Linked DNA regions of Pelodiscus sinensis. Each later gene encodes a partner of the first gene's protein in a complex. Links are inferred from orthologs where the notes say so. Each region holds a gene or a part of one and is shown in the gene's direction. Other genes may lie near its edges. The genes, in order: IRF2BP2, ZBTB16, VGLL4 and IRF2.

Evidence for each region.
Region 2: the proteins of IRF2BP2 (region 1) and ZBTB16 are in contact, whole or in part, in a crystal structure (PDB 8YTH), measured with the Homo sapiens proteins. The link is inferred for Pelodiscus sinensis from reciprocal best matches to the Homo sapiens genes IRF2BP2 and ZBTB16. Residues at the interface, in NP_892017.2 of Homo sapiens: Thr516, His517, Phe518, Val519, Gln520, Pro522, Phe531, Leu557, Trp564, Ala565, Phe566, Met567, Glu570, Thr573, Ile574; in NP_001018011.1 of Homo sapiens: Arg285, Ser287, Val288, Ile289, Thr290, Ser291.
Region 3: the proteins of IRF2BP2 (region 1) and VGLL4 are in contact, whole or in part, in a crystal structure (PDB 8YTF), measured with the Homo sapiens proteins. The link is inferred for Pelodiscus sinensis from reciprocal best matches to the Homo sapiens genes IRF2BP2 and VGLL4. Residues at the interface, in NP_892017.2 of Homo sapiens: Thr516, His517, Phe518, Val519, Gln520, Pro522, Phe531, Leu557, Trp564, Ala565, Phe566, Met567, Glu570, Thr573, Ile574; in NP_055482.2 of Homo sapiens: Arg161, Ser163, Val164, Ile165, Thr166.
Region 4: the proteins of IRF2BP2 (region 1) and IRF2 are in contact, whole or in part, in a crystal structure (PDB 8YTG), measured with the Homo sapiens proteins. The link is inferred for Pelodiscus sinensis from reciprocal best matches to the Homo sapiens genes IRF2BP2 and IRF2. Residues at the interface, in NP_892017.2 of Homo sapiens: His517, Phe518, Val519, Gln520, Pro522, Phe531, Leu557, Trp564, Ala565, Phe566, Met567, Glu570, Thr573, Ile574; in NP_002190.2 of Homo sapiens: Arg331, Ala332, Ser333, Val334, Ile335, Lys336.

Annotation. Positions count from the first base shown.
Region 1 is NC_134713.1:126,125,271-126,132,717, reverse strand, and holds the start of IRF2BP2 (interferon regulatory factor 2-binding protein 2), read left to right. Parts: upstream 1-4,437; 5' UTR 4,438-4,858; coding exon 4,859-5,825; intron 5,826-6,404; coding exon 6,405-7,120; 3' UTR 7,121-7,447. UniProt on the Homo sapiens protein: Acts as a transcriptional corepressor in a IRF2-dependent manner; this repression is not mediated by histone deacetylase activities. Represses the NFAT1-dependent transactivation of NFAT-responsive promoters.
Region 2 is NC_134736.1:3,729,054-3,736,395, forward strand, and holds the start of ZBTB16 (zinc finger and BTB domain-containing protein 16), read left to right. Parts: upstream 1-4,328; 5' UTR 4,329-4,522; intron 4,523-6,010; exon of another isoform or gene 6,011-6,151; intron 6,152-6,214; exon of another isoform or gene 6,215-6,239; intron 6,240-6,343; exon of another isoform or gene 6,344-6,366; intron 6,367-6,672; exon of another isoform or gene 6,673-6,814; intron 6,815-6,848; exon of another isoform or gene 6,849-6,967; intron 6,968-7,153; exon of another isoform or gene 7,154-7,212; intron 7,213-7,235; exon of another isoform or gene 7,236-7,342. UniProt on the Homo sapiens protein: Acts as a transcriptional repressor. Transcriptional repression may be mediated through recruitment of histone deacetylases to target promoters. May play a role in myeloid maturation and in the development and/or maintenance of other differentiated tissues.
Region 3 is NC_134721.1:47,047,554-47,054,474, reverse strand, and holds the start of VGLL4 (transcription cofactor vestigial-like protein 4), read left to right. Parts: upstream 1-3,915; 5' UTR 3,916-4,462; coding exon 4,463-4,544; intron 4,545-6,921. UniProt on the Homo sapiens protein: May act as a specific coactivator for the mammalian TEFs.
Region 4 is NC_134715.1:76,082,907-76,089,978, reverse strand, and holds the start of IRF2 (interferon regulatory factor 2), read left to right. Parts: upstream 1-4,057; 5' UTR 4,058-4,189; intron 4,190-4,465; exon of another isoform or gene 4,466-4,718; intron 4,719-7,072. UniProt on the Homo sapiens protein: Specifically binds to the upstream regulatory region of type I IFN and IFN-inducible MHC class I genes (the interferon consensus sequence (ICS)) and represses those genes. Also acts as an activator for several genes including H4 and IL7.

The DNA of each region.
Region 1 (7,447 bases):
AATAACAATATATCCAAAATGTGCATAAAATTTAATGTCAAATTTTAGTTGGCCCAGCTTGCAAGGCTTTATGCTCAATTTGATGGCATTTCTCCGTTTATTTGGACAGAATATGGAAACTTTTGAACTCAGCATAAGTTCAATTACAAAATTTCAGGGAATGGTTTAGCTCTCAAAAGGGAGAACTGTATGGATTTTTAATTCTCTACAGATCAATAATTGATGGTATCTTCCAGCATAACTATTAGCCCTCCCCATGCCCACACTGCCCATCTTCCCAATACCACTTATGTCATGCACCGTGGCAGCATGGTAACTTATCTCCCAGTTGAGACAAATAGAAAATAAATAATAATGGTGGGGGAAGTTTGGAGAATTGTGGGAATGGGGAGGACACACACAGTGGCTGGCATGGAGGAGAAAATAGGAAATCCGGGTAGGGAATGAAGGAGAAATGGGGGCACACAAAGCCCCTGGCATGGGGAACAAAGGAGGAAGTGGGGGGTAAAGAGGGAATGGAGGATAGGTGTTTGCCTGGCCTACAAACAGCTACCAGGTGTGCACCCACCTAGTGGTGCAAGCAAGTAATTCAATTATATCAGCAAAACTACCAATGAAATTATGCACAATTGAGGGCACATTGTTCATTATAATAGACCATATCCTGCTCATCATGTACCCAAAGGCAGTCCTGTTGAAATCAATTAAACTTTGTGTAAAGCAAGCAGGATATGGCCAGTTTGTGCCTTTAATAAGTTATTTTCAGGCAAAACGGCATTACCATAAACCACCAGTAGGTGTCTTGAAGCTCAAGTCTATATGATGGGTGGGGGGGAGAGAGGGAGAGCAACTGAACATATCTTGTGTTTGACCAGTTCCATTCTACTAAACCCATGAAATCATTAGGTTTGGGGAGTTTACAGGTCATGATATAAAGCCTACATTTTTTATTTAATCCAGCCATTGTTTCAGGAAAATCATGTTCAGACGTTATGCCTCCCTCCTGTTTTTTCCAGAGTTAATTCGGAGCAATAAAATTATAGTTAAAAACTTAAAATTGCTCATCTTGATTTTTTCCAACAAGCTCTTGTTAGAATGAAGGAAAAGTGAGCACAATTTGCCCTCCAGTTTAAAGCCTTCCACAGCTGAACGGTTTCCTCCCCCCCCCACCTTTACTAACTGCTCGTGATCTTAAATGCACAAACAGTCGTTCTTGGCACCCAACCAACATATATAAATACATGTAATTTTTCCTTCAAAGAACCTAGAGGCTAAGCAAGAGGGCAAAGGAGTACGTGACTAAAACATCCTAACTTCCTCTTTCATAAGCTATCACATGATGCAGTGCAATTACAATTCCTGCCTTGTCTCCGCGAATCGCAGACGCATTGCCTCACCCTAGAAACCCTGTGAGTGTGTAGGCAGCAGTTGCTGCAGCCGGGTTGGAAGGAATCCAATTTCAGTCCGGAGAGAAAGGGTTGTGGGAGGAAGACAAAAACAAAAATCTGTTTACTTAGTATACATTGATAAAGCGTCTTTAGAAGGGTGGGGGGAGAGTAGCTTTAAAGGAGTTTTACACAATCTGAACGGGAGTGCTGTTGTGAAGCAGAAAACAAGATGTGTTAACCCTTTTAGCTCCCGGGGGAATTCAGGACGGGAGTGCAGTCCAAAAAAAAATAGCTCTTTCATTGGCAAGCTAACCTCAGGAAGGTCACCGGGGAAGCTATGCCAATGGAGTTGCAAATATTTAAGGGATTATGAATATGAAAATAAAAGGAGCGGTCTCCTTTTATGAGCGCACATGCATGTATCCAAAGAGAGGGAGCGAGAGAACCTACATCTAGACCGTGTTTTTGAATTTCGCTTATCGCTGACAGGGCAGTCCCAAAAATGGCAAGGTTTGCTTTGAGCAAACGTGCAAGGCGGTGTTTATGTTATCGCTGAAACAAAAGTAAGGCTCGAAGGGCGGGGAACTGCTTAACCCTTGAAGGGACAGATCGCATTAGCCAGAGGGCAAGTGGCGTGTATGGGGATCTGCTCTGTCACCATTTGCAACTGGCTGGCGGGGGGGGGGGGGATTGTATTACCTACGGTTCCAAGGTGCGCGAGGGAGGGGGATAGTGGCGTTGTATCAAAATCCTCGTTGCACTTGCACTGATGTGGGTGGGGGGAAGCGGATTTTGCATCAGCGCTGGTTGCACCGGTGCGCGCGGGGTGGGGAAGGAGGCGCCGTCAGAAAGCACATTAGCAAACGGCGGCAAAGTCTCTGGAAATCCCCCAAAGGAGGATCATGTGGCGTTTGCATGTCAAAACGCTTGAGTTTGGGATTAAATGTCCTTCGGGTAAATTTTAGAACAGGCTTTTAAAAATATGACAGAAGATCAACACACAGTCATTTCTTCGAGGGTGGTTTCTTTCCGCCCGTCCCCCCCCCCCCCCTCCCCGCGCCTTAAAAAAACCTGGCAGTGTCGATAGCAGCACGGTAAAAACCTTAGCAGGGCTCCATTCCCCTTGCCTTGCCAATCCAGTAGGGGAGATCATCTAATTTACACACGCTGCCTCCAAGAAAGCTAGCTCATCCCAGTCTAAAGAAGAAAGGTTGGGGTGGGGTGTGTCGCGTTAGCGGCCTACGGCGTTTGATTCTCGAAAAAAATAGTGGAGCTCGAAAAGTTGACAGATAAACTCTGTTTAAAGGGCGGCGGCGGCGGCGGGGGGGGGGGGGAGGGTTAGAGATCATTTCCCTAGCTTAACTCTGCAGCTGGATGAAAGCATTCCCTTAGCAAATAGAGCGAGGACATTATATCAATTGACTTTTTGCTTTGATGACATCACACTAATTAGCTCCATAAAATATCGTGTCCATGCTTCGTCTCCCGTTCGTGGGTTGCAAATAACAAAACATGAAAAACGCCCAGCTGGGTCAGCAATTACAAGTCAACGCCTCTGCCTTTTGCCCCCTGCCCATTGGTTCTGCAGGAGGAAATATCCTAGTGTAAAATACCCCCAACACCACCATTGTCTGCAGTCGCAAAGCTGCCTCATGCCAGCCGGTCTCCATTAATAGAGAGCTGTACACATGAATAACAAAAGCCTGATCTGATTTTCAGTGCAAAGGGAGAGAGTAGTACAGTATAGAATGCGGCTCTTACACCCATTCCTGTGTACTACTGTACATGCTGCTTTTGCTACGTTAAGTAAAAGTTAAGCCTGGCAGTGGGAGGAGGGAGCTTTGAGAGCCCAGAAATAGCAGCAAGGGAGGCGGTACTTAGTGCTGTGACGGGGCATCGGCGGTGCTGGCTGTAGATTCTCTCTCTGTGAGTCTGTCCCTGGAATGTGCATTTCGTTTAATAAGGTTTCAAGTGCCAATTGCATTGAGTCACGTCCCTGACTGAGTCTGCGCACAGGGCGCAGCTGCAGCCCTGAAACAAAATGCGGACGTCAGAGCTCAGCTTCCTCCATCCCTCCCTTTGTAACCTACATAAGTCAGCAGCAGCACTGTGGGAATGGTGACCCACAAGCAAGAGTTTGAGAGAACAGCTTCCACTTTGTTTACGCTGCACAATCACACACACACACACACACACAGCCCCCTCTATGTATTCGGACTACTTCTGGGTTGAATGATGACTTCATGTGCGAATGACAAATGAACAGAACATCCCTTTCTCTTTTTGACTGGCTGCAATTGTCAAACGAGCTGTTTGGAATTCTTAGTGCGGAAGTAGGAAGAAAAAAAATGTCCGCAGGTTGGGGAGGAGGGGCTGTGTTTACTTAGCATGCGCTTTGCTGATCACTAGAAAATGGAAGATTTGTGGCTGCAAATGAGGAAACCTAGAATGTCCTATTTCCGACCCAAATGAAACATTAAAAAAGAGATAAGTAGCAATTGTATATATTATGGTCCCTTCCATCTTAGCGTAAGGCAATGCGAAAATCTCTATTAAACGAATAAGGAAATTACATTGAGTAGCTGTTTCGATCTTCCAAGTTCTGTGCACATACCAACTGCCCCTCGAAAACCTCTGGGTGTAGGTATTATTAACCCTTTTTAACGGAAAAATTGGGAAAGTCAGCGAAAGTTGTTTAGTCAAAGGGATCAGACTGGAGTGATTTCTTCAAGGCCAGGGAATGAGTCAGTGTCAAAGGCAAGATTAAAACAAAGATTATATTAAATTCCGGCCAAAAGTGAGCCATCACAAAATTAATCTTATACAATATTTTAACAATCAAGTAAAGATGGCATCTGTTCTTTTGTTAAACATATTTTTCACGCCTGCTGACGTATTTAGCCATTACCTCCTCACAAATAATACCTAGGCTGCAAATAAGGACCCCACAGACCCCTATTTACATCCCATTCACATGTGCAAGCCCTTGGCGTTCCCCCACCCTCTGCTGACTAGGAGGGAGCTGGCTATTCTTGCAGCTCTTGTTGTCTTGGGACTCTTGGCAGAAGTTCAATGAGCAGCACCAGCAGCAGGCGGCCAGAGAAGAGGGCGCCCAGCGCGCAGGCGCTCGGAGGCACTGTCGAAGAATCGAGTCACTGGAGCAGAGCGCACAGGCGGCGGCTGCTGTTGCTGCTGGAGTCCCCGCCCCAGTGCGAGCGCCCGGGCTGCAGTAGGGAGCAAGCGGGGCAGGCGGAGTGAGCAGCGCGCTGGAGTAGGCAGCCGAGGGTGCCGCGACGGGGCTATGCGCTTGCCCTAGTCTCAGTGACTTCCACGCTCGCTGGGGGCCGCTTGTTTGCAGCGGGCGGAAGATCTTGCGGCAGCTGCAGAGCCCGGAGCCTGCCCGCTTGGTCTCTGGTTGCAGGAGGAGGAGGAGGACGCGCGGGGGGCGCTCGCTGCCCCTGGGCTGGGACATGTCGTCCGCGGCGGTGGCGGCTGCTTCCCGCAGGCAGTCGTGCTACCTGTGCGACCTGCCCCGCATGCCCTGGGCCATGATCTGGGACTTCACCGAGCCCGTCTGCCGGGGCTGCGTCAACTACGAGGGGGCTGACCGGGTGGAGTTCGTCATCGACACGGCGCGGCAGCTCAAGCGGGCTCACAGCTTCCAGGAGGGCCGAGCCCCGCCGCCGCCCCACGCCAAGCAGCCGCCGCTCAGCGCGAAGGAGATCCTGGTGCAGCAGCAGCAGTTGAACCACACGGCGGTGGCGGGCGAGGGGGTGCCCCGGCCCCCGCCGCAGCCCCTGGAGCGCTACCCGCTGGCGGGTGCTGCCGCCTCCTCAGAGCGGCCGCCGCCCCGGCTGGGAGCCGAGTACGGGGCCAGCCGGCAGGTGAACGGGATCCTGATGCCCAACGGGTTCCCCAAGCCCGAGGAGCCGCCCGAGCTGAACCGGCAGAGCCCGAACCCCCGGCGGACCCACACGGTGCCGCCCACCCTGGTGCCGCTGATGAACGGAGCCTCCCTGCCTGCGGCCATCAGCATCAGCAGCCGGGCTGCCGCCTCGCTGGCCGCCATCTCCGGGACGCCCGCCCCCATGCAGGTCTCCGTCCCCCAGCCGCCGCCGCCCGGGGAGCTGGCGCACAAGCGGCCCGGCTCCGTGTCCTCCAGCAGCAGCAGTAGCGCCGGCGCGGGCGAGCACGAGAGCAAGGAGAAGCCGCCGCGGGGCTCGGCGGAGGAGCTGGGGGTCGAGGGCAAGGGCCGCGGGGCAGCCGGCGCGGAGCAGGAATGGCTGGGCAAGCCCAAGACGGTGCGGGACACGCTGCTGGCGCTACACCAGCACGGGGGCCACGCGGTGCCTTTCGAGAGCAAGTTCAAGAAGGAGCCCGGCCTGGCGGGGAGCAGGATGCTGGGGTACGAGAGCAACGGGACCGTGGCCAAAGCAGGTATGAGGCAAAGGGAGATGTCTGCTCCCCCCCTCCCCCCAAAAAACAAACCCCGATCTCTTAACTCCCACTTCCTGGTGCCTAACGCGGCACCGTTGCTTAGGTGGCAACGTGTTCATGTGCTGAAACAGCACAACAGAGAGCTATGAGTCAGGGCCGGCTGGTAGGCACTGACAGAGATAGGGCTTTTCCTCCCTGGCGTTCATGCTCGCCATAGGAGCTGCAGGGAAGGCACCAGTAACCTTTCAGCCTCCTAGCAGCGTTGCAGAGCCAGCCCGCGTGTGTGTGAACTGTGTACTTGTACAGGTTGTTGCATGCCTGCATGTGGTGGCTGGATGTGCACATGCACAAGTTGTATAGAACACACACACCTACTTTGGATGCATGTCACGTTGTGTATGTATTTGCATAGGTCAGATAATAGGTATTTCTATGCAAACCAGGGGCTGTGTATACTTTTAAAATGGAACCATTTTGAAGCTTGATTTGTGTAGCTGTATCTCCCTTTATAGCTGTGTTAATCTGATTGCTTTTTTTTTTCTTGTGCATTTCCTCCTCTCCATTTCTTTGCGTCTCTAGGGGCTCGGGCATCAAGGAAAAGGAAGCCGTCCCCAGAACCAGAAGGTGAAGCTGGACCCCCTAAGATCAATGGAGAATCACAGCCCTGGTTGCCAACATCATCAGAGGGGATGAAAATGTCCATGACTGCTACATCTTTCATGTCTCCCCCTCCACCAACTGCCTCGCCTCATTCCAACAGGACCACACCGCCTGAAGCAGCCCAGAATGGCCAATCCCCTATGGCTGCGCTCATTTTAGTAGCAGACAATGCAGGGGGCAACCACTCCTCCAAAGATGCCAACCAAGTTCACTCCACTACCAGGAGAAACAGCAACAGCCCGCCCTCTCCGTCCTCTATGAACCAAAGAAGGCTGGGTCCAAGCAGGGAGGTGCCAAGTCAAGGGACAAACACTGCTGGGGGATTGGAGCCAGTGCATCCTGCCAGCCTCCCGGACTCATCTCTAGCAGCCAGTGTTCCCTTGTGCTGCACCCTGTGCCACGAGCGGTTGGAAGACACCCATTTTGTTCAGTGCCCCTCTGTCCCTTCCCACAAGTTCTGTTTCCCTTGCTCCAGACAAAGCATCAAACAACAAGGAGCTAGTGGCGAGGTATATTGTCCCAGTGGGGAGAAATGCCCCCTGGTGGGCTCCAATGTCCCTTGGGCTTTCATGCAGGGGGAGATTGCAACCATTCTTGCAGGAGATGTGAAAGTGAAAAAAGAGAGAGACTCGTGACTTTTTCCAGTTTCACAACCCAACGGTCACCTATAACTAAAACTGCTTGAATTATGTATATATCTATAAATATCTATAAATATATATATATCTCCAAGACAAGGGAAATGTAGACTTCATAAAACATGGCTGTATAATTTTGATTTTTTGAATACATTGTGTTTCTATATTTTTTTGAAGACAAAAGGTATGTACTTAAAGGCATTTCCTCTTTTTTGTTATAGCAACTATTTGTTGTGCTTCCTTGGTGACAGTTACTGTTCAGTGTAGGCTGTGACTTGCGCTGCTTTTTTTAGAGAGCACTTGGCAAACAGAAATGCTTCTAGC
Region 2 (7,342 bases), on another chromosome or scaffold:
GAAAATCAGCCGCTTTTCCGGAAAAACTTGCCAGCTGTCTACACTGGCGGCTTGAATTTCCACAAAAGCACTGACTTCCTACTGTAAGAAATCAGTACTTTTTGCGGAAGTACTATGCTGCTCCCATTCGGGCAAAAGGGCCAGTGTAGACAGCTGAGATTTGTTTTCCACAAAAAAGCCCTGATCGCGAAAATGGCGATCGGGGCTTTTTTGCGGAAAAGCACGTCTAGATTGGCACGGATGCATTTCTGCAAAAAGTGCTTTTGCGGAAAAGCATCCGTGCCAATCTAGACGCTCTTTTCTGAAAATGCTTTTAACGGAAAACTTTTCCGTTAAAAGCATTTCCGGAAAATCATGCCAGTCTAGACGTAGCCATACAGACTAACTTGGCTACCTCCTGAAGCTTCTTTTGCTTATGGGGGTCAGAACTTCCAAGTCTTGTATTTGACTTGATTTGGAGGAGAAAATAAACCTTTATCTTAATTAAAACAAGAACCTGGGGGGTGAGAGGGAGGCAAGAGGAGGGTTACTGGTGGTTGAATCTGCTATTCTAACATTTTCTCTGCATACTGTATATATGGCCTTGCTGAAGGACAAGGGGCTGACTTGAAGGTCAAAAGCAAATCTTTTTCTTTCTTTTTTTCCATCTTCCTTATTTCATACCTTTCAGAATTGCTCTGCTTTTCACTTCCTTTATGGTCACTGATCTCTAAGGTATGTCAGCTCTGGAACTCAGTCTATGTGTGTGGAGGAGGATGTACATTCTGAAGGCAGACGGACTGTTTTCTGAGGAGAACTCTGTTGTTCTTGTTCTTGTCAAGCGACAGATGTTATTGACCAGGCTGTTAGAACAAAGCTAACGTATTGATAAATATTGGTTTAAATTTTTAGTATGGTCCATGGCTTCAAGCAATAAGTGGTTTCTTTACACTATTTGCATACACCAGGAGGCCAAAATATGGGTAGTGAACACAGCAACCTTTACTGTGATGGCTCACAGCACTGAGTGTGTGTCGGGGGTGGACAGGAAAAGGGTTGTGGGTAGACGGGGAGAGAGAGGTAGAGCTGACAGATGCAGATGTGAGGGAGTGCACGGTTTGGATCAGGATCAGACTCTGTTACCGAGTTGGCTAATTCCAAAGACGTCTTCAGATGTGGTGACCGTGTAAATCGAATTTCAGCTGAATGGAGCCCGCAAGAGACTGTAATGCACAGACCTGACATATTGTCTATATCCCAGGGCGGTCTGGAGGTCTGCTAGTGCTGAGACAGAAATGGTGAGAGACAATCAATGCCACCAAAGAGTTTGCCAGCTAGATATTTCCTAACCCAAGCTGTGAAAGATGGTTCTAGTTTGGGAAGGGTGGGCGGGCTGGGGGGTGACATTTGGCAACTAGACTTTGTTCCAATTTGGAATGAAAGCAAAAATGGAGATTCTCTGGAAGGGGTTGGTGCCATGGACCCTGGATGCCCAGCCATGGGATACACAGCTCGAAGGCAGTTCATCCACATGGCTCCTCAGCATTCAGGCATAAAAACAGGCCCCTATGTTCCACTTTGTCAGAACCAAACAGTCTCAGCAGAATGCTTCTATTTCAATGCATTCTGATGGGGGAAGAGAAAACAAATTTCACTCCAGTTTTCTGTCCCACTCTATCTGGTGATGTCTTTTGCAGGCAACATGGAGACGAAACGTCTGTAGGCAAAGAAAGTGCCTTGAAGAGCCTCCATGCATGATATAACCACGGAAAGAAGTGCATGGCATGCAAGGTGATGTTAGACTGTCAGACTGTTCAGGAGTCCATGTGGAAAAGGGTTTGAACCAGGTGCCCACAGAAAAGTTGCTCTCACCATTGACATCATTCACCAATTTGTTGCCTTTATTGACAGCTTCAGCAAAGAAACTTGGGACCGAATCAGAACTTTCTTTTCACCCCCCACTGAAAAGTCCCCTCCCAGGGAATGTGCAAGCTAATTCCCAAGGGAAAGATCTAACAGTTACTTATTAGATTGTATGTTCTTGGCCAGGTACTATCTTCTGTGTTCGTATGGCATCTAGTACCAAAGGACCTTAGACTCTACTGCAGTACAGATGATGAAAATAAGAATGCGCATTCATGAAGTTAAATAACTAGTCCCTTTGCAGTTACTAGTCAAGGGGAACTAGTCAGGCGAGTAAAGCGTATGCATGTGCATATGTGTTTGCACGGTCAGAGCTATGGAACAACGACCATGTTTAAATGTGTATTTGTACAACATCTACTAGCATGAGGGCTTGGTCCTGACTGGACAATCAGGACTTGGTCCTGACTGGAGAACCAATGTAATAGAACTATTAAGGCACAGCTTGACACTGGGGGAGTATTTAAGTGCACTGTGGTCTGAGCTATACCTAGTCTGCAGATGAATGAGAACGTCATTTGTAGGGTCATCAATCCAGTATCCTTTGAAAAACAGTGATAGGAATTAAGTCTTTTAAACAACTCAATAGCTTTTACATTATTTTTTAAAAAAGAAAAGTGAAATGCACCAGTTCCCAGGAAGGACTGGGGAGGGAGGGGGGTAATTTTCAGCATGCTGCCTGGGAATGTAGCCCTGGGAGATCTATTATTGCTAATGGGACTCATGCGGCTTAATTTCATGCAAGCTACACTAGAAATGTACCCCTAGCTGTCTGCGAAATTTCAGTTCTGAAATCAAGCCTCTTAAAAGTTAGAGCAGGATAAACAGACACCTGCAACTGCTCCTCTCCCTCCACCATGGATTTTTTTCTACTTTACAAAGCAAAACAAAAGACGCAATGGCTGTGCAGATTTAAGGAATTTAAAAGGGAGAGGGGGTCATATGCATGCAGACTGGCAGCCAGCAAGTGAAATTTCATTTTGCTGCCAGGTAAAATGGCAGAGTTATAACCCCTGAAATATGGGGTTTAGTTGATGCCTTATCTTTAACTATGCTACTGAGAATGCCACACTGTAATGCTTATGTAATAACCCTCAGTGCTGTCTCTTTCATTATAGGGCCTCTGTTATTAGGCTGTTCTTGTTAAATGACTGCTATCATCTGGTCCCAAAGTACATTAAATCCCATTATAATTATAAACACACTTCCTATAACATTCTCTTTAGATTACATTCACACTGCTTTATCCCTCAGGGTATCTTTGTACTAATACTATTCTTACTTGCTATTTTAGCAGACAATATTGGGTCCCACACTACTTGTACCATGCAAAGGGAGAAGGAAGCATTCCCATTACTGAGCAATATTTTGATGTCCCCTGGAAACGAATCTTGTCTCATTTATTTCAGGCACTCTCCCCTTTTATATAAGGAGGCCTGGCTTTTAAAATGTGTTGAACTTTGGCACCCTACTATTCTGGAGTTTATGAATTGCACTATTCCTATATCTCCATTCCAAAGAGTAGCATTATGAACAAGAAGTTTGGTTGAAACAAAAGACAGGACAATGTAGCACTTTAATGACTAACAAGATGGTTTATTAGATGATGAGCTTTCGTGGGCCAGACCCACTTCCTCAGATCAATTTGTGGAAGAAAATTGGCACGACCATATATACCAAAGTGATACAATAAAAAAAAGTGAACACATATAAAATTGACAAATCAGATTTTAGAACAGAGGGGCGGGGGCAAGGGGAGACGGTTAGTGTCTGTGAGATAATGATATTATGCTGTTCATTTCTCTCTTTCTATTAAAAAAAAAGATTTTTTTTTGCAGCAAATCTTTGTCCCTGGAGTTTCACTGCCATTCTTATACAACAAGGAGTCCTGTGGCAGCTTAAAGAAGAACCATTTTATTATAAGCTTCTGAGGGATAGCTGAATTAGTCCCTAACTGGAAAAACTTAAAAAACAATGAATAGTCTAGCAGCACCTTGGCAACTAACAAAATGGGTAGATGGTATCATGAGGTTTTGTGGGTACAACACACTTCTTCAGGTGACTGGAGTATTAGAAGTCCAGATCCAAGAATAAATAAGGGGGAAGGGAGAAAAAAAAGAGGAAAAAAGAGTGAATTGAATTGTTCAAGTTACTAGCGTTTACAATTTACAACTTTCCTGAGTTGTAAGTTGCAACTCACGTCATCAGTTCCTGCCCTTTCTATACACGGTGCTTGTTTGGAATAGTGTCTTTATCTGGGCAAAACAGCCCATATCAAACTGGCGGGTACCTAATATTTGGCACTTTCCAGCCAAAATTTGGCACCATGCCCATGGCTTGTCTTTGTTACTTTCTCCATCTCTCAAACTCAGGCACCCTTCTCCCTGCAACACTTGCTAGCAAGAGGCTGGGCGTTCAAAGCGCTGAGTTTATTAAGCAAGGGAGATTTTTTTTTTTTTGTACCAGGAATCTGGGGGCTCGTCTGGCTTTGTCTTGTTTCAAGTGGCTTTCTCCGGCCTGAGGCCTAATTGAAGATTAGGATCGGGGGTTAATTGTGTATTTCTCCGCTGGGGAAGATCGGATGCTTCCTAGGGCGAGCCTGCCGCGAGTTAAAGCCATGGTGAGCGAGGCTGGCAGCAGACGTCCGCACCGCCGCCTTATCGCTCGCCTCGACGCAGTTGTCACATTAGAAGTTCAACAAGTTGAAAACGTCTCTTGTGTAGCGTGGCTCAGCCAGCGACACCCGCACGCTGGTTAGGCGGGGTTCTTTTCCGATGTACGGATTTCATGATGAGCACGCGGGGGTCTTACCCCCCTCGCTGCTGCAGCCCCGGCGCTGGGGTGCGTTCCTGAAAGCGGAGCGTGTGTGCACCGGGGGGAAGGACTGGGAGCCTGAGCTCCGAAGCGGGTGCCGCGTTGGCCGGGGGCGAATTGGAACCCGGCTCCGCGGGCGGGTGGGTGGCTGAGCCCCTTGGCTCCCGCCCTGAACGAGCCGCGGGGCGGTCAGGGGCCCAGCCGGGTGCGTGGATCCCCTGCGGGGCAGAGGCGAGGGGGAGGCGAAGGCGATCGCGGGGAGGCGGGGGCTGGCTCTCAGGCAGGTGCCGGGACGCAGCCGGCGGAGGGGCTGGGCTGGGGGCGAACGACCCCTCCCGAGCCCCACCACCCAGACCCGCTGGGGACACGGTCTGCGCGCTGCTCCCCTAGCGCCCCTCGCCCGCCCCGTCCCCCCGGCCCAGGCCGGCTGGCGCGCAGGGTGCAGCAGGTGCTGGCCCGGCGCGCTCCGATCCCCGCGGGGCCGCTCCGAGCCGGGTCGCAGGCATTGGCTCCGGTTCATTGATTCCCCAAGGCAGCCTCCTGCTCCTCCATGTTTGTTGTTGGCAGAGGCCAGCGGAGCCAAGCGCTGTCCAGCAGCCCGCGGGATCCGCGCCCCCTCCCTCCCCAGCCCCTGCGGCCGGTCCCCAAAGCCGGCCGCCGGGCCAACCCCGCGCTCCCCCCCTCCCCTCCATGCAACTTTTCGGTGACTTCCCTTGGGCTGGGGCAGGAGCGGGACCAAGGGTTTTTCCCCTCTCCCCCCGCCCCCAACTCCTGGGGGCTGCTCGCCTCTGCCCGGGGCTTGGCGGAGCAACCCGGGAAGCGACGGGGCTACAACAGACCCCCGCTTTCCTCTTGCTGCACCCCTCCCCCCGCGCTCCTGCAGAGCGGCTCGCCCCTGGCTACGCGGGGTGCCCCCTGGCTACTTAGTACCCGCAGCTTCCCCCCCCCCCCCCTCAGCGCGGCTGCTTCTGCCCCCGGGAGCGGCCCCGACTCAGCAGGATCGGGGCCTCGGCCCGTTTGCAGCTCCCCCGCCCTGGGCAGGACGAGCTGAGCGACGCTTGGAGCGTGTCCTAGCGCCGCTGCCTTGTGGAGGCCGGGCCAAGGCCGGGCGGGCTCATGGGCTGGCGAAGGAGGGATGCTCGGCGAAGCTCGTTCCCACCCGTCTCCCTCCCAATCCGGAGTCTAATTCGGATGGCTCGGAGCTCTGGCCGGGTCCTGCCGCGGGCCGGAGCTTTGCGCGTCTTTACGCTCGGAGCCCGGTGTCCTGCGCCTTGCGCGAGCCCCAGCCCAGCCTACCCGTCCCGCCGTGCAGCGATAGCGCTGGGGCCCCGAGCCTCCTGCCCCCGCCAGCCGCGTGGGAACGGGCGGCGCCAGACCGGGACCTCGACACAGCTGCCTGGCGCGAGGCAGGGACTCAGTCCGGAGGATGCTCGAGGTGCCCGAAAATCGCTTCTCCCGAGCTGGCGCCCTGAGGGGTCCGGCGTGGGGGGGGGGGGGGTAACTCTTCCCTCCCCTGCTGCCAGGTGTGAACCTGTTAGTACCCCCCCCCAGCGCAGTGTGGAAGGGCCGGGACTCGCTCCCGTTCCCACTCCAGCTCCAGAGGCGCCAGCGGGGTCCCTGGAGCGTCCCGAGTCCCGCTGCGCTCCCAGGGTGGGTGCCCCCCTTGGAGAACCTCCTGGCCCGGGAGGCGTGGGAAGTTTTCCGCTCCAGCATCTCCCCGGGTCAGGCGGGCGGCTCCCCGCGCCTGGGAAGCGGAGACCCCCCGGCAGCCAGGGCGCGCCGCGGAGGGAGGGGGTGGGGGGCAGAGCCTGGCGGGAGGCTCGGGGCGGGAGCCGGGTGCGGGAGAGCGGTGTGGGCACCAGCCCCGTGCCAGCAGTAAAGATGGTGCCCGGCCCGGGCTTCGCCGGGGTGGGAGCGGCCCTGACGCGGGGCGCCAGCCGGCGCGTCAGTCCGCGCGGTGTTGATTTGCTAACCTGCGAGCAGAGAGCAGCGGGGCAGGATGAGAGCGGGCACTGCGAACTGCCACATGCCGCCGCGGCTGCCCTAGCCAGCCCCGGTCCCGCACGGCGGCGGGGAGGCGCCTGCCATGCACTAGCCCGTGAGTGCCGAGGGGGGCGGCTTGCAGCAACTTGCTCCGCGGGGCGGGGGTGTCGGGGGGCTGCTCGCTCGGATGCCCGGGCAGGAGCGATGCGCGGAGATACGCGGGCTCGCCTGTCAGCGCTGCGCCTGGCCGGTTCTCCCTCGGGGGAAGGTGGGGGCGAGGGGACACGGGGGGGGGGGTTGCAATGGGCGGGGGGGGGTTGCAATGGGCGGGGGGGGGGCTGTGGGTCGGGGGGGCGCTGGCAGGAGGAAGCGCAGCGGTTGTTGTGATGTTCCGGCGGAGAGAAACATGTAACCCCCCCCCCCCCGTTATTTATTTGCTGCTTGCGGGGGGAGGGGGGAGCGGTTCGGCCGCCCCGATGCGTTCCGAGAGAGGAGGCTCCTTTCGGGGCCGGGGTGGGTGAGCCGGGGGTCGGGGGAGCGCCCTGATTTTGGTTGATGGCTTTAGTTTTGCAGCGCCGGTCCATGTGGGGGGCTCGTGCGGGGAAAGTGTCCGCCAGGGCCCCTCCGCTCCCTTCCCCCGGGG
Region 3 (6,921 bases), on another chromosome or scaffold:
GCTACATTTGCATCCCTAATTTGGACTAGGGAGCAAGTGTAGACATACCCTTAGTCTTAGGTACATTATCCCCTAGCAGCTACCAACCAGTGTTTATTCAGTAATTAATTTAATTGAATAGGGAGAAAAAAAGTGAAAACTGTTCCTGAGGAGCATTCATGCTTTGTGCCCTTTGCCTCTCACCTTGACAGTGAACAAGGACATTAGTCAATATGAATGTACACTCCAAGTGGCATGATACTTATGTGATGTTAGAAATGGCAGTGCATGAATATGAAATATCTGAAAAATGGGAATCCATTAGGTTATATCTTACACAGAATATACCTCAAGAATAAGGCGTGTTTACTCTTTAAATAGGATTTTTTTCTATCAGTTCCAAAATTGATTGCTGTTCATGAGGGATAACATTTTCCAAAGTACGACTTTGGACTTCAAGCACCATTTTTGAAATAATCTGAACTGATACTTAAATACTATTGAAAATTTCACTGTAAATCCTTAATATCAGTAAGTGGTAAACTGGACTCAGTACATCTGTATATGATTAATAGGAGTCTAATCTTTTCAGCTATATGGAAGTATGAATAGCAAAAAGATGGAAAATTTCTGGTATCTCACTTTTTGAAGTGTACACGGCTTTTATCTCTACCTATCTTAGTGAAACCAAAATGCGGTTCAGCTAAGAATCTTTAATGAGCTCATTTAAATAGTTTGTCTATTAAAAACAGATACTGGTAATGGATTCAGCCATATATAATTATTAATCATATTGGGGCTGTTTTTCAGAAAAGGATGTAGCCGGTCTTACAATTGTGCAGCTAATTTGGGTGTTATTACTGCCTAAAATGGCCAGGTAGAGGAATAACTGGCCATTTTTGTGCTTGCAGTTAAGGGTAACTGCATGCAAATTATATATGGACTTGCATGTGGTTGTTTGATAAAATTGTGTCCTAATATTCATCTAGATCTACTTTTGCCACAGCAGGGTTTTTTTTATAACTTTCTTTGGCATATTAAAATCTCAAATGGTGGAAAAATTCCATAGATGTGTAGAAACAATATCACTTTAAAGAATAACAAGATGGTTTGTTAGATGATGAGCTTTCGTGGGCCAGACCCACTTCCTCAGATCAAAGGAAGTTTTTGATCTGAGGAAGTGGGTCTGGCCCACGAAAGCTCATCATCTAATAAACCATCTTGTTAGTCTTTAAAGTGCTACATTGTCCTGCATTTTGCTTCAGCTACCCCAGACTAACACGGCTACATTTCTATCACTATTCTAGAAACAATATGTGATTGAGACCCTTTTGATTTTTACAATATAACCTTCAACACTTACTATAACTCTTGAAATTGCTAAATTTAATGAACTCTTTGAACACAAATAGTGATTTGTTCTTCCTAACGGCTGTTTGCCAGATACGCAGCTTGTATTAAAGAAGGCCTTCAGTAAAACAGTTTCTGATGCACGGTGGTTCTCCTTAAAATTGCTAGAAGATTGAGTCCAAGGATTTTGCAGTGATTAAGTTCTTAATTCCTTAATTCTGAGTAATTCTGCCTGTAGGACAATTTAAAATGGTTCCTTAGGCATTACTTTGTCCAAACATCATTACCAGCCATTTCTAGTTTTGGCAACTTTGATTTAACCATTAATTAAAACCTCCATTTGATTTCTCTTTGCTTTCTTCAGACAAAAATGCAAGTCGATGATCTGAGATGACCACGAGATATTGGATTTGCAGGGCCATATTGCTAATAAACTGATGAATTCAGTACTGTGAGGAAGCTGAATTACAATTATTCTAGCTAGGCTGAACAATCTGTGCACTTTATTGCAGAGTTATCGCATTACTGAAGATGTGTGTGCAGTTTCATGCTATTAGCTCCAGGGGATGCTGTTGTACTAAAGGTTTGTGTGCATGGAAAATGGCCTGGTTTACAAAAGACAAGTATTTGTGGTAGTTCACATATAATGCAAAAAGTATAGTAATTAATGGTGCTTGCAAGTGCTATAACTTTTAAGCAGTAATATTAATCCATAAATAACAAAACTCATGGAATATGCTATTAGTAATGTTTGCTTTACCACATACTTGGCATATAACCTGGTGACATATGTTTGCCACTGATTTAATTTCAACCTGAGCTATTTCAAACTGGTAAAATGCTCAGTGAATCATTTATAAGACTGTTGGGAATTCTTTCCTCGAAAGCGTGCATTGAGCAGATTACAGGGAAATAGTCTAGGAATACTTGGTATTAGTAGCTACAATGCCTCAGCATGTTAGGGATTTTAGAAGTTTCCTCAAGTTCTTTGGAATGAGCAATTTCATATGTGTGAGGATTTTTTAGAATGATTGATCATATAATATTGGCATAAAAAAATTTTCTTTCTGTCCATTCACTAGGCATTCATTTCTTTTTGTGAATGAATTAAAATGTTTTATATTGCTTACAAATATGTATTATATTGGTACAAAACTGTTTAACTGGAAGCATGTGGCAGATGTTAATCACTTTGCTCAATGCAGTACCAGAAAGCACTCTGATTGCAGTATGAGAACCTTTATATAAGAAAATAGCATGGTTGCTTTCCCTTCTTCCAACCACCAACACTTCAGGAGCAATTCAAATATTGTAAATTGGAATATGCTAGTACTTATCTTTTCTCCCATAGACCTTAGCTGGTAGTAATGGAAATTCAGGAATGCTGTAGCTACTAAGTTACACATAGTGTAAATACTTTCCTTAATTTTACTAGAATTTAGAGTTCAGGCAGGGGGGACTTGCCTCTCCTTTGTCGGTGTTGTAACTGTGAAATCTAGCCTTTCTTTTTCTTATCTTTCTTGCAGTATTTATTAAAATGTTGCTTTTAGTAAATGAAAATGGTTTGAAAGAAAGAAAAGAAGCCGTGAAATCGTCAATTCTAATGTGACTAAAGAGTCTCAAAGTCCTAGGGAGAAAAATGATTTTTGCATCAGAGAGTGAGTAGCTAGGTATTTGCATAATGTTTCCAGCCTTATCTCCCTTTGAACTTGCAAATGTCATTTTCTTCATTTAAAAAATTCCCTGCTCTAGAAAGTACCTTATTTTTAGCCTGGAGGTAGGTGGATACACCTTTACTGCCTCAAATCTGGGAGCCAAAAAACATCATGATAAACTTTACTTAGCAAATTATTTTGTTTGCTATACAAAAAATTGTCTAGTTACTTGAACATTAAGTATCATGATTTCTGAGACCTTTAGAAATCTTTAAGATCAAGGTTCGAATTGCAGCAAAGCAAGCCACATCCTGAGAACAACTGCGGTAAAAAAATCTCCTTTGTTTCTGTCCTTTTAAACCAAAGCTTGAACAATGAATTCTCCAGGCACTAAAAAGCCAGAGCCTGAATTGTTTTACTGACATCCCTTCGGGATTTAAAATGTAGCAGTAGACTGATTAAAAGTAGCATAGAGGCTGATCTGTGTGTGCATATCTACCTCCAATATTCAAAGAGTTAATGTGGTGGTTTAGTTGTAGTTCTCATTTTCCATCGTGGAGCCATTAAAACTCCATTTTGTTAATTTTTCAATTTTATTATTTTTCGGTGAATTAACACTCATTACAACATGTTGAAACCAGGTCAAATGGGAATTACAAACATATTAATGTCAAATAAAATAAATGTCAGCTGTATATGTTAAATTAATTTGGTGGAGGAGAATAATTTAAAATAAAAGTTTAACTTCTATTCTGTCACATGGAAAAAATCCTGTCTCAGAAAGTGAAGCCTGCCTGCAGATTTAGCTTGGTCGACTTCTTAGCACTTGAAAAGAGGCCTCTTTCCTTGTTTCTGTGATCTTCCCCTCCACCCCCTTTCAGTTTTCCAGTGGTAGCTTACTTCCTGTCAAGAGCAACTCTGACATGGCCTCTTCTGTAAAGACTCTCCACCTCCTCCTCTTCCTCCTCCTTTCTTTCAAACACTCAGTACATTTAGAGACTGATCTTGTGCAGAAAATATCCCTGACATTTGAAGAGCTCCAGGGATTCAGTGAGCATGCTCACTGCCTGATAGAAAGAGGAAGCTAGTTTACATAGGGCTCATACCAAGCATAGCCTGCATGTCAGTGCAGTTAACTTGCAGCTGGCTGTGAGGAAAATAGCTTGGCTTTGTCCTAGGAAATTTCCTTGATTTTTCTGTTTTTCCTCTTAAATTTCCAGAAAGATTTGCAAGGATTTTTAAAAAACGTTTTTATTTGTAGCTGGGGGAAATAAATTCAGTCTCGAAATCCTGGAAAGGTTCCTCCCTCTCTCTCCAGCTTTGCTTTATTATACTTTATTTTTGATTAGTCAAAGGCTGGGCCTTGAGTTTTTGAAGTTTAGAAAGAACCAGGAGTTATTCTGGCAGCATTTGTCCAGCTTCCTTCTCCCTGCTTCTGGGCAAAAGCAAACAAGCTGGTCTTTTTGTTAGCCCGATAAATGCTATTTATGAAGATGGACCTGTTGAACTACCAGTACTTGGACAAGATGAACAACAATATTGGCATTCTGTGCTATGAAGGTATTTGTTTCATTTGGCAGAAGGTTTGTTTTTTTCTGGGGTATTTTTGATGTTTTCAGTGTGAGCTATTTCTGTTTATAGTTGTTACCAGGTACTGTGTATTTTGTAGTGTATCTAGAGGCTTAAAGGGATTTATGAAATGGAGGTTAAATTACTCTTTTTAAAGGAAAAGTTTCTGCTTACTAATATGAAGTGAAGGTTGCTTCCCCCCCCCCCCTCCCGCCCAGCAAAGACGGAATTGATTGAACTACATTAAAGCAGCAATAGTCTGTGCTTTTTGCCTGTGTTAATATAGTTGTAATTCTGTAAAGGAAACACTCAGACACTTTATAATACCTGTCTGTGTTAATTTGTAAAGTACATTGCCTATGTGTAATCTACGCCATTAAATGTATACTCTGAAACACAGAGTAGAAGCATTTGTACAGCGAGACTTACAACAGGTTTTTGTTTTTAATTTGGTGCTTACATCCTGAACAATAACACATTTTACAGTTCATCTTTGGCAATTGAAGGGCACCCATATTATGGAGCACAGAGTGGCCTTTGTTTGACTTATCATTTCCGGCCCAGCTCCGAGAAAACCCTGACAGTGAAGGATGTCTCCCCCCTCATCCTCACCCACACACCTCCTCCCCAAGAGCACTCCACATAGTCCCTGTGGAAAGAATTACACAATGCCCTGGAAAACTTAACTTTTTGTCTTCTCTGTGTGAGTTTGCTTATTTGTGTCCAGCTAATGTAAATCGACATTTACTTATGATCCTGTAGGTAATAGTAGCCTTGTTTTAAAGGTGCCTTAGGTAAAGGGAGAAGGGAATTAGCTTGATCTAGATCTTTTTCAGTCGATGTGCAGTTTGAAGAAGTGCCAGTGGTCTGGCTTTGAGTGGAAAGAAAGACACCACTGAGCTAATTCAGCTTGGCAGGAGGGCAGGTTTTGCTGTAGCCACATACAAACATTGCAGAAGTCTCTCTTCTAATTCAGCAGGAACATTTTCCATGTTCGTTTGGAAAGTTAACTTTTATAGTTGTCAAGAAAGAAGCAGAAACAAATAGATGTGATCAAGAGGTAACTACTCACATGTGTTTAAAAAAAGGCTAACCCAAAAATCAAGAAGCTTACTCTAGCAATATGTCTTTTCCTTTTCTCACCTCAGTTTAAGTTAGGCAAAATTTCAAAGTACCAGGGGGGAGCAGAGGGTACATATAGAACTATTAATGACTCCAAAAGTCTCAGACGGGTAGCCATGTTAATCTGTAACTTTAAAAATGAGTGGCCCTGTGGCACCTTAGAGACTAACAAAAATATATATAGTATCATGAGCTTTCGTGGGCAAAACTCACTTCAGGTTTTTTCCATTTGAACAAAATCATAGATCTTATGTAGAAATGTTCTTTTCAGAAATCTGCTGTGCAAATAAATGGTTTGCCAGCCAGTATTGGTGCAGATTGTGCATGGCAATCAGACTTTCATTCTCTTTCCCATGTTGCTGTTTCTTTTTTGAAATTTTGTGAATGCAAAAATGATTGGATAAAGGAACATTGCGAGTTTTGTAATCTCGTCATTGTCTTGCATTAACAATTAAGTGCTTTATTATGATGTTGGTTCCTGATGAAAATGGCAAAGAAATAGAATTTCTGCTTGATTGATGGATTTTTCTGAGGAGGGTTTTGCTGACAAGATGGAAAAAGTTTTGTTGCTTTGGATCTTACTAGTTTCATTCAATTGTATTTATTACCTAGTATTTGTTGATAAATCATAATTTTAATAGTTTGAAAGCAAAAGCACAGCTCAAGGAACACAAGTTTTTTGTTTTTTTTTAAGTTCAAACATCTGTTGCAATTTTCCTTATTATGGAAGTTAACATTAGTTTTAACTCTAAAATAAACATAAGTAAGAAATAAAAAAACAACAACCCTAGAGCAGTGTTTATATCCCAGTGATTTAAAAAGTATAAACACTGACCACATCTTAACTGAGTTCTGAAGGGTGTTTTTAGAGATGCCTACACTTCTGCCATGTTGCTGCCAAAGTATTTATTTTACAGAGGAGTTGTCAGCAATGATGGTTGATGGTGATTTTGAAAAGACAAATTCTGTTGCAGTAATATGTATACTTGAGAATAAAGTGCTTTTTCAGATTCAATTAATTAGTCTTTATTGAGGTTCATACTTGAACTACTTAACATTTACAAGTTCTCATGAGAAGTACTTTGGTAGATGTAAGATAAGATACACTTTGTGATTATTAGTTCTATAATAGGCTGGGATTTCCAAAGAGTTGGAGAAAATCAGGTGTCTAAATCCCATTGGAATTCAATAGGAGGTAGATACCTTTTACTTCAAGTGCTTTTGAAAATTGTAGCATGTTGCTGGT
Region 4 (7,072 bases), on another chromosome or scaffold:
CCAGGGCCTGATTAAATGCATCCTTGGATACTTAAGCTGATAGAGAAGGTATCTGAGCCTTTAGCTATCATCGTTGAAAAATCATGGAAGTCAGGAGAGATTCCAGAAGACTGGAAAAAGGCAAATATAGTGCCCATCTATAAAAAGGGAAATAAGAAAAACCCAGGACACTATAGACAAGTCAGTTTAACTGCTGTGCCAGGAAAGATAATGGAGCAGGTAATTAAGGAATCCATCTGCAAACATCTGGAAGAAAATAAGGTGATAGGTAACAGCCAGCATGGATTTGTAAAGAACAAATCATGTCAAACCAATCCGATAGCTTTCTTTGATAGGATAACAAGTCTTGTGGATAAGGGCAAAGCCGTGGACATGGTATACCTAGACTTTAGTAAGGCATTTGATATGGTCTTGCATGATCTTCTTATCAATAAACTAAGCAAATACAACCTAGATGGAGCTACTATAAGGCGGGTGCATAACTGGCTGGATGACCATTCTCAGAAAGTAGTTAATAACGGTTCACAATCATGTTGGGAACATGGCCAGAGAAGGGACCTAGCCCAAAAACAGGTGCCTGCCCTACTCAGACACTCATACTATTGGGACCCATCTGTTGCTGAGGCCACTGCTATTCTCCAGAAACTGGCATCACTTCTTCCTCCTTTTACCCCTCCTACTCCAGCTGCCACCGAGGTGCTGTGAAGACCGAAGAGCCCGCCCCCTACCCCCAAGGACTGAGAGAAGCCCTACAGGACTCTAAGCACAACACCTTCCACTGGTACTCAATCGCTTGCAGGGAAATCCCCCTCCCCCCAAACATCCAGGAGGGAAATGATGAGTGTGGCGCAATCTCTAAAACCCAGCAAGTGTCTGGCCCCCAAATCCTATGCAAGAGACATCCCAGTTGACCCCCCCAGACAATTTTCCATAACTGTTTCCCTCCCTTGTCAGGGACAGGGGGAGGGAGACAGGCAAAAAGGCAGGTGCAGAGACATTAATGCTTGATTAGTACTCAGAGTCAGACCTACTGAGTGTTCATCTGTAGTTCCTTTTTTAAAACTTCACCTTTATGGTACCTGTGCAATGAAAATTCGTTTCCTCACTCAGAAGTTCTGAAGGCATTGCTTGTCATCCCTCGGTTTCTTAAATGATATGATCCCAACTTTTGTTTTAAATGAAAGCTGTGATGGTGATATGATCACTTGACTCCAGTAGCTGAGACTTTAAGGAAGATACCAGATATTGAGAGATCGGTGATAAAAATTGCAAGCATTGGCAATGGTACAGTGAGTAGCACCAGATGTTTGTATTTATTGAGAATTCTGAATTGAATTTTGTAATCCTAAAATTGTCAGATCATATTGATTTTACAAAATCTTGAGAGATCACAGTCTCCTTTGGATAAATTGACTCACCAGTGACAATTAATAAAATAATATAATAATAACAATAATAAATATCTCTGTTTCCTTTCCCTTCTTAAGCACTACAAAATGATTATGACTACAACATTGGCCCTCAGCAAGTCATGTGAACCAGTTTTAGTAAATGCCTAGATCCTAATATATGTGCTCTAACTGTGGCCTCAGAAACTGTCATTTGTTACTGTTGTCTGAGAATAAATATTAAATTAAGGTACTGCAATGGTCCAGAGATTCCAAACATTACTCTGAGAATTGCTTTCTTTTAATGCACCCATGATGGAAGGCCCAAACCACAAGGAAGTCAATGGGAATCTTCAATTAATGTTAGTGGATTAGGCCTCAGGAAAGCAACGGTTTCATTCTGTGTAACTGTAAAGATTACGGAAAGATGAATAAACATACTAAACCAGCTTGCTTTCTGTTTTCAATGGATGGGCCAAATGATTGTCATTGACATTGTTGCCCTTTCCAAAAAAAAAGGGAAGATTTCCTTTTTTCTATATTATTACATATAACAAGTATTTTACATGCCAGCAAATTGAAACTAAAATCTTTTAAAGATAGATCATTCTGTAAACAAACTGAACAAGCATAAGCTGAATATTGCATAAGCTCATCAACATCACTGTTCTCCTTTTCCAGAATGAGTTGTTTGAGCCAGTGCATAGGGATTTTTCACCTCATGGATGAGCGGCAGGTCATTCATATTTTGCCTTTTTATTTTTATTTTATGATTTACAATACTGTGCTTTACACAAAAAATGAATATGATTTATGAATTCAGACTCTCCTGCCAATCTTGAAGATCAGTCATCGAAAGATGCATGCACATCAAAGGACTTACTCACATGTGCAAAATTAAGTAAGGGTGTAAGGATTAGTACTCTAAGTTGTCTTCCTTTTGGATTGTGGCCTATGTTTTCAAGAAATACATGTCATTCTAATTACTATGGGTATTTCAGTGCTCTGATTTTACCATCAGATATTTATTTTTAGGGCTCCCATTGCTGTAGCACCTGAACACATCACAGTCTAAAATATTGAAAATCACAACACCTCTCGGAAGCAGGGAACTAATATCATTCCCATTTTACAGATAGGAGCTGAGACATTATTCCAAAATAACATAGGGTGCACCTATACTGCAAGCAGTTACTTCAACATAATTTTGAAATAATGTTGAGCTGGTGGACTTCTTACTCTGACTCCTGTAACCCTCATTTTATGAGGAATAAGGGAAGTCCAAGGAAGAGTGTTCTTCCTTCGACATACTGCTGTGTAGACAATGTGAAAAGCTGAAATAAGCTAGCTGAAGTTGCGTAGCTTATTTCAGCTTTAGCCCTGCTATGTAGATGTGCCCAGAGAGATTAAGGATGTGGCTACACTACAAAGAGTATGCCTGTATAACCTGCTGGTACAGATATAGAATACATTGACAGGAGACAATTTACTGGTATGGGAACACCATCTGCCCAAATGCCATTAGCTATTTGCCCAGAAGCCCTCTTCTGTGTCAGCATAATTGTATCTATATTAGTGGTTTAGTCTGCAAAGGTGTGTCACTATAGTGTGCATGTTTTTCACCCTTGATCAATATAGCTATACTTGTATACATTTTAAATCATATAGAAACTCTGTGGTGAAGCTGGAAAATGAGTCCCAGGATATTGTTCTAACCACAAGACTATATATTTTCTGACACAACATACTGCAAAGACCTGAAGAATCCTGAGGTTAACTCCTTTAAAGCATTACTCAGCTCCATCTGAGCAAAGATGTGTGGGATTGGGACTCTTGATGGGAAATATATATTATTTCAGTGACAAACAAAGTTTTGAATACAGACTAGGAAGGATTGAAAATGAAATAATGATTTTCAGATGCAGTGGTCAAACTGCATATAAAATAGATAAAAAATAGAGTATGTGGTGGCCATCAATATGCTGGCCAACTGCTGCATAACATCTTTGCATAGAAGGAATCAATGTAGTGGTAGCTCAGTACTGCATCGTGTTGTCAGGCCTACAAAATTTGTGGACTTATTTTAGCTTCAACCCTTCCATACTGACTTGGCTTATAATTTAGGCCCATTTCTTATATACTTGAGACACTAGGATTGTTTTCCATACCATTTTATTGTCAGCACATAAGCTTGTTCAATTACAGCACATAAGCTTATTTCCCTTTAAACCTAGATTTCCATAGAGCTCCCCTCTCCCTCAGCAAAAAAATCCAACAACATTCCACCCTGGAAGAGAACAATCTGCCAGTCACTTTAATTGTGGATTTTTTTGGAGGAGGGAAAAAACATGAAGCTGTTCTCTTGTCTTTAGTTTTCTTTGCCCTGTAACAGAAAGCTCTTTCTGTCTCTCTGCCTCTACACATCACATGCTGCAGCTCGCTGCCGCTGCTGGAGGGAAGTGAAAATGAAATCGACTTTTCCGAGAAATGATGAAAGCGGCTGTGTCTGCCAATGAAAGGCTGCGGTAAACTTCCGCACCTCTCCCATCTCGGCTCCCACCCCCCTCTGCACAAACAGGCCGGGGAGAGGTGGGGGGAATTTCCAAGCCTCAGCTCCTCGCAGTTTCCTCTCCTTGTTTTGCTTTCGATCTGGACTCTTCTCAGCCAAAGCAGAGGGAGTAACTTTTAGTTTTGCTCCTGCGATTATTCAGCTGGGTGTTTTCATTTCCATTTTGCATCCCCTGGCAACAGCGTTAACCTTGAGGAATTATATAAATACCGTGAATAACATATTAAACAAGGTAATTTTTTAACTACTACTGTATCTGTATGTGGATTTACACAAATGTTTGGCAAACAGGAAGTGCCTGCTCTCAAATAATATTGATTTAGAAAGAAAAGGTCAGCGTTGTATGGATCATATGATTTTAGGTGAAGCTGCTGCTAGGGAGAGGAAGGTTAATTTCACTTTTACATTTGAAAAGGCTGAGAGGGTGATCGCCTGGAAGGACATGTGTTTGTCTCGGACCGTGTGGAGACCAACCGTGTGCCCAGATCGGCAGGGTTTAGGCTTTGAATTTATTTTGGGTCTAATGGGGGGAGAAGATCAACAACGGAAACAAAGGAGGGAAGCGTTTAATTCTCCCGCTGTGACAGATGGGAAAGGGAGAGCTGGACGGGAGAAAAAGACGCCAAACAGCGCTGAGGGGACGGAAAAGCAGCAACTTCCACCCCCGCGGCGCGAGGCTGGCCCGGCGGCTGCAGCACGCGGAAAGTTAATGGAGTGGCGGAGCTGAGCGGGGGTGGCGGGGCTGCGGACATTTCCTGCAGGTGATCAGCTCCCCCTCCCCGCAGCGCGGCCGGTGCCGCTCGGGCGCGCTGCTGGGGGCTTGTACCGAGCGAGCAGCCGCGGGGAGGGCAGCGGCTGCGCCCGGGGGCGAGTGACCCCTTCCCCGCCCGAGCGGGGGAGCGAAAGGCAGGCGGGGCCGGGGCACTTGTTGCGGGCCGAGGCCCCGGAAGGGCGAGGGGCGAGTCCCGCGGGCTCCTGCTTCCTGTGGGGCTTGGCGGCGGCTGCAGGCCCGAGCGGGGGCGCATGGGCGGGAGGTGCCGCGGGGGGGGGGGCGCGCGGAAAGGTGTCAGCCCCCCCATGCGGCAGGCCGCGTTGCTGGTTATACGAGCCCCAGCGCTTCCTCCCCCCCCCCGCCAGTCAGTGACGGAGCCGCCTCTCGCGCCCAATGGCGGGGCCCTGCCGCGCGCCGCTCGCTGTCTTCGCCGCCAGCCGTCGGGCTCTGGCTGGGAGCGCGCGCCGCTGGGGTTCCCCCCCCCCCCGGCGGGGCCTCTGCTGCGGAGAGACTGGCCCTGGGTGACCCCTTCCCCGCCCGCCGGGGAGGGAGACTGTGGCCACTGCGAGTGATGCCGACAGGCCCTGCCTGCAGGCCGCGTGCTGGAGCCCGGGCCTGTGCGCGCTGCTGCTGCTTGTTTGTATTCCAGCGGCATCGGCCCCGGCTCCGGGCTTCCTTCTGCGCACTGCCCAGAAACAGAGAGAGAGTCTCCGCCCTGGGTACTGACCCACCTGCGTGCGCCGGGCCTCCAGCAGAGTTTGTGCTGGCAGCCGAGCAGCCTTTTTTATCCTCGAGTAGCTCGAGCTGCACTGGAGGGGAAGGAGCCTAGTATTTGCTTGCTCGGTTCTGCAGCGTCGGGAGCCCTGTTGTGACCTGGTCTCTAAGCTGGGCCTGTAACATCCCTGGCGTGTGTGCGCAGGGGATATGGGGCTTTAAACAATAGTGGCAGATGGTGGGGTGCTTGTACTAGGGCTCCCAACCTTGGTATGTTTAGTGGGAAATTTTTAAAAAAATCTCTTCAAGGTATTACTGCTAATCCGTAGGTGTAGTGGTAGGAAGACTTTCGGGGACCTTTATTAATGTGTTGAGTGGAAAAATGGTGCTTAGTAGTATATGGAATACAGACTTTCCTTGTTAATTCCCCCAATAAGTTTACAATCTAAGATGCCCATTGACAAGTATGAGTCATTGTCCCAATATAAACAACAAGCAAAATGTCTTAAAAACAGGGGTCTATATTACTATCTTTAATAGCTTCAGAGAGTTCGTCTGTAACAGGAAATCTTAAAAAACAACAAATAGTCTAGTAACACCTTAAAGACTAACAAAACATGTATGGGAGCGGAAATCCATCAGCCACACACAGAAACTCACACAGGTCCAAACAGACCTGAACTCCAGTATAAAGAGGGAGAAAAACTTGTTGAAAGTCTATGGGTCAGGTTTAAAGGAGCAAACAGCAGTGATGTTGTGGTTGGTGTCTGCTACAGGCCACCGAACCAGGTGGATGAGGTAGATGAGGCTTTCTTCGAACAACTGAGCGAAGCTTCTAGATCGCAGGCCCTGGTTCTCATGGGGGACTTTAATCACCCTGACATCTGTTGGGAAACCAATACGGCAGTACACAGGCAATCCAGGAAGTTTTTGGAGAATGTTGGGGATAACTTCTTGGTACAAGTGCTGAAGGATCCGACCAGGGGCCGTGCACAGCTTGACCTTCTCCTCACAAACAGGGAGGAACTAATAGGGGACGTAGAGGTGGGTGACAACCTGGGAAGCAGTGATCATGAGATGGTAGATTTCAGGATCCTGACCAAAGGAAGAAAAGAGAGTAGTAAAATACACACCTTGGACTTCAAAAAAGCAGATTTTGACTCCCTCAGAGATCTGATGGAAAGAATCCCCTGGGATGTTAACATGAAGGGGAAAGGAGTCAAGGACAGCTGGCAGTATTTTAAAGAAGCCTTATTGAAGGCACAGAAAGAAACCATCCCGACACGTAGCAAGAGAGGCAAACCTGGTAGGAGACCGGATTGGCTTACAGGGGAAATCCTTGGTGTACTTAAGCACAAAAAGGAAGCTTACAGAAAGTGGAAACTTGGACAAATGACTAGGGAGGAGCTTAAATGTATAGTTCGAGAAAGCCGGGGGGTTATCAGGAAGGCGAAAGCGCAAATGGAGTTGCGACTGGCTAAGGATGTGAAGGATAACAAGAAAGGTTTCTACAGGCATGTCAACAAAAAGAAGGTGATCAGAGAGGGTGTGCAGTCCCTAATGGATGAAGGAGGTAACCTAGTGACAGAGGATGTGGGGAAAGCTGAAGTACTCAATGCTTTCTTTGCC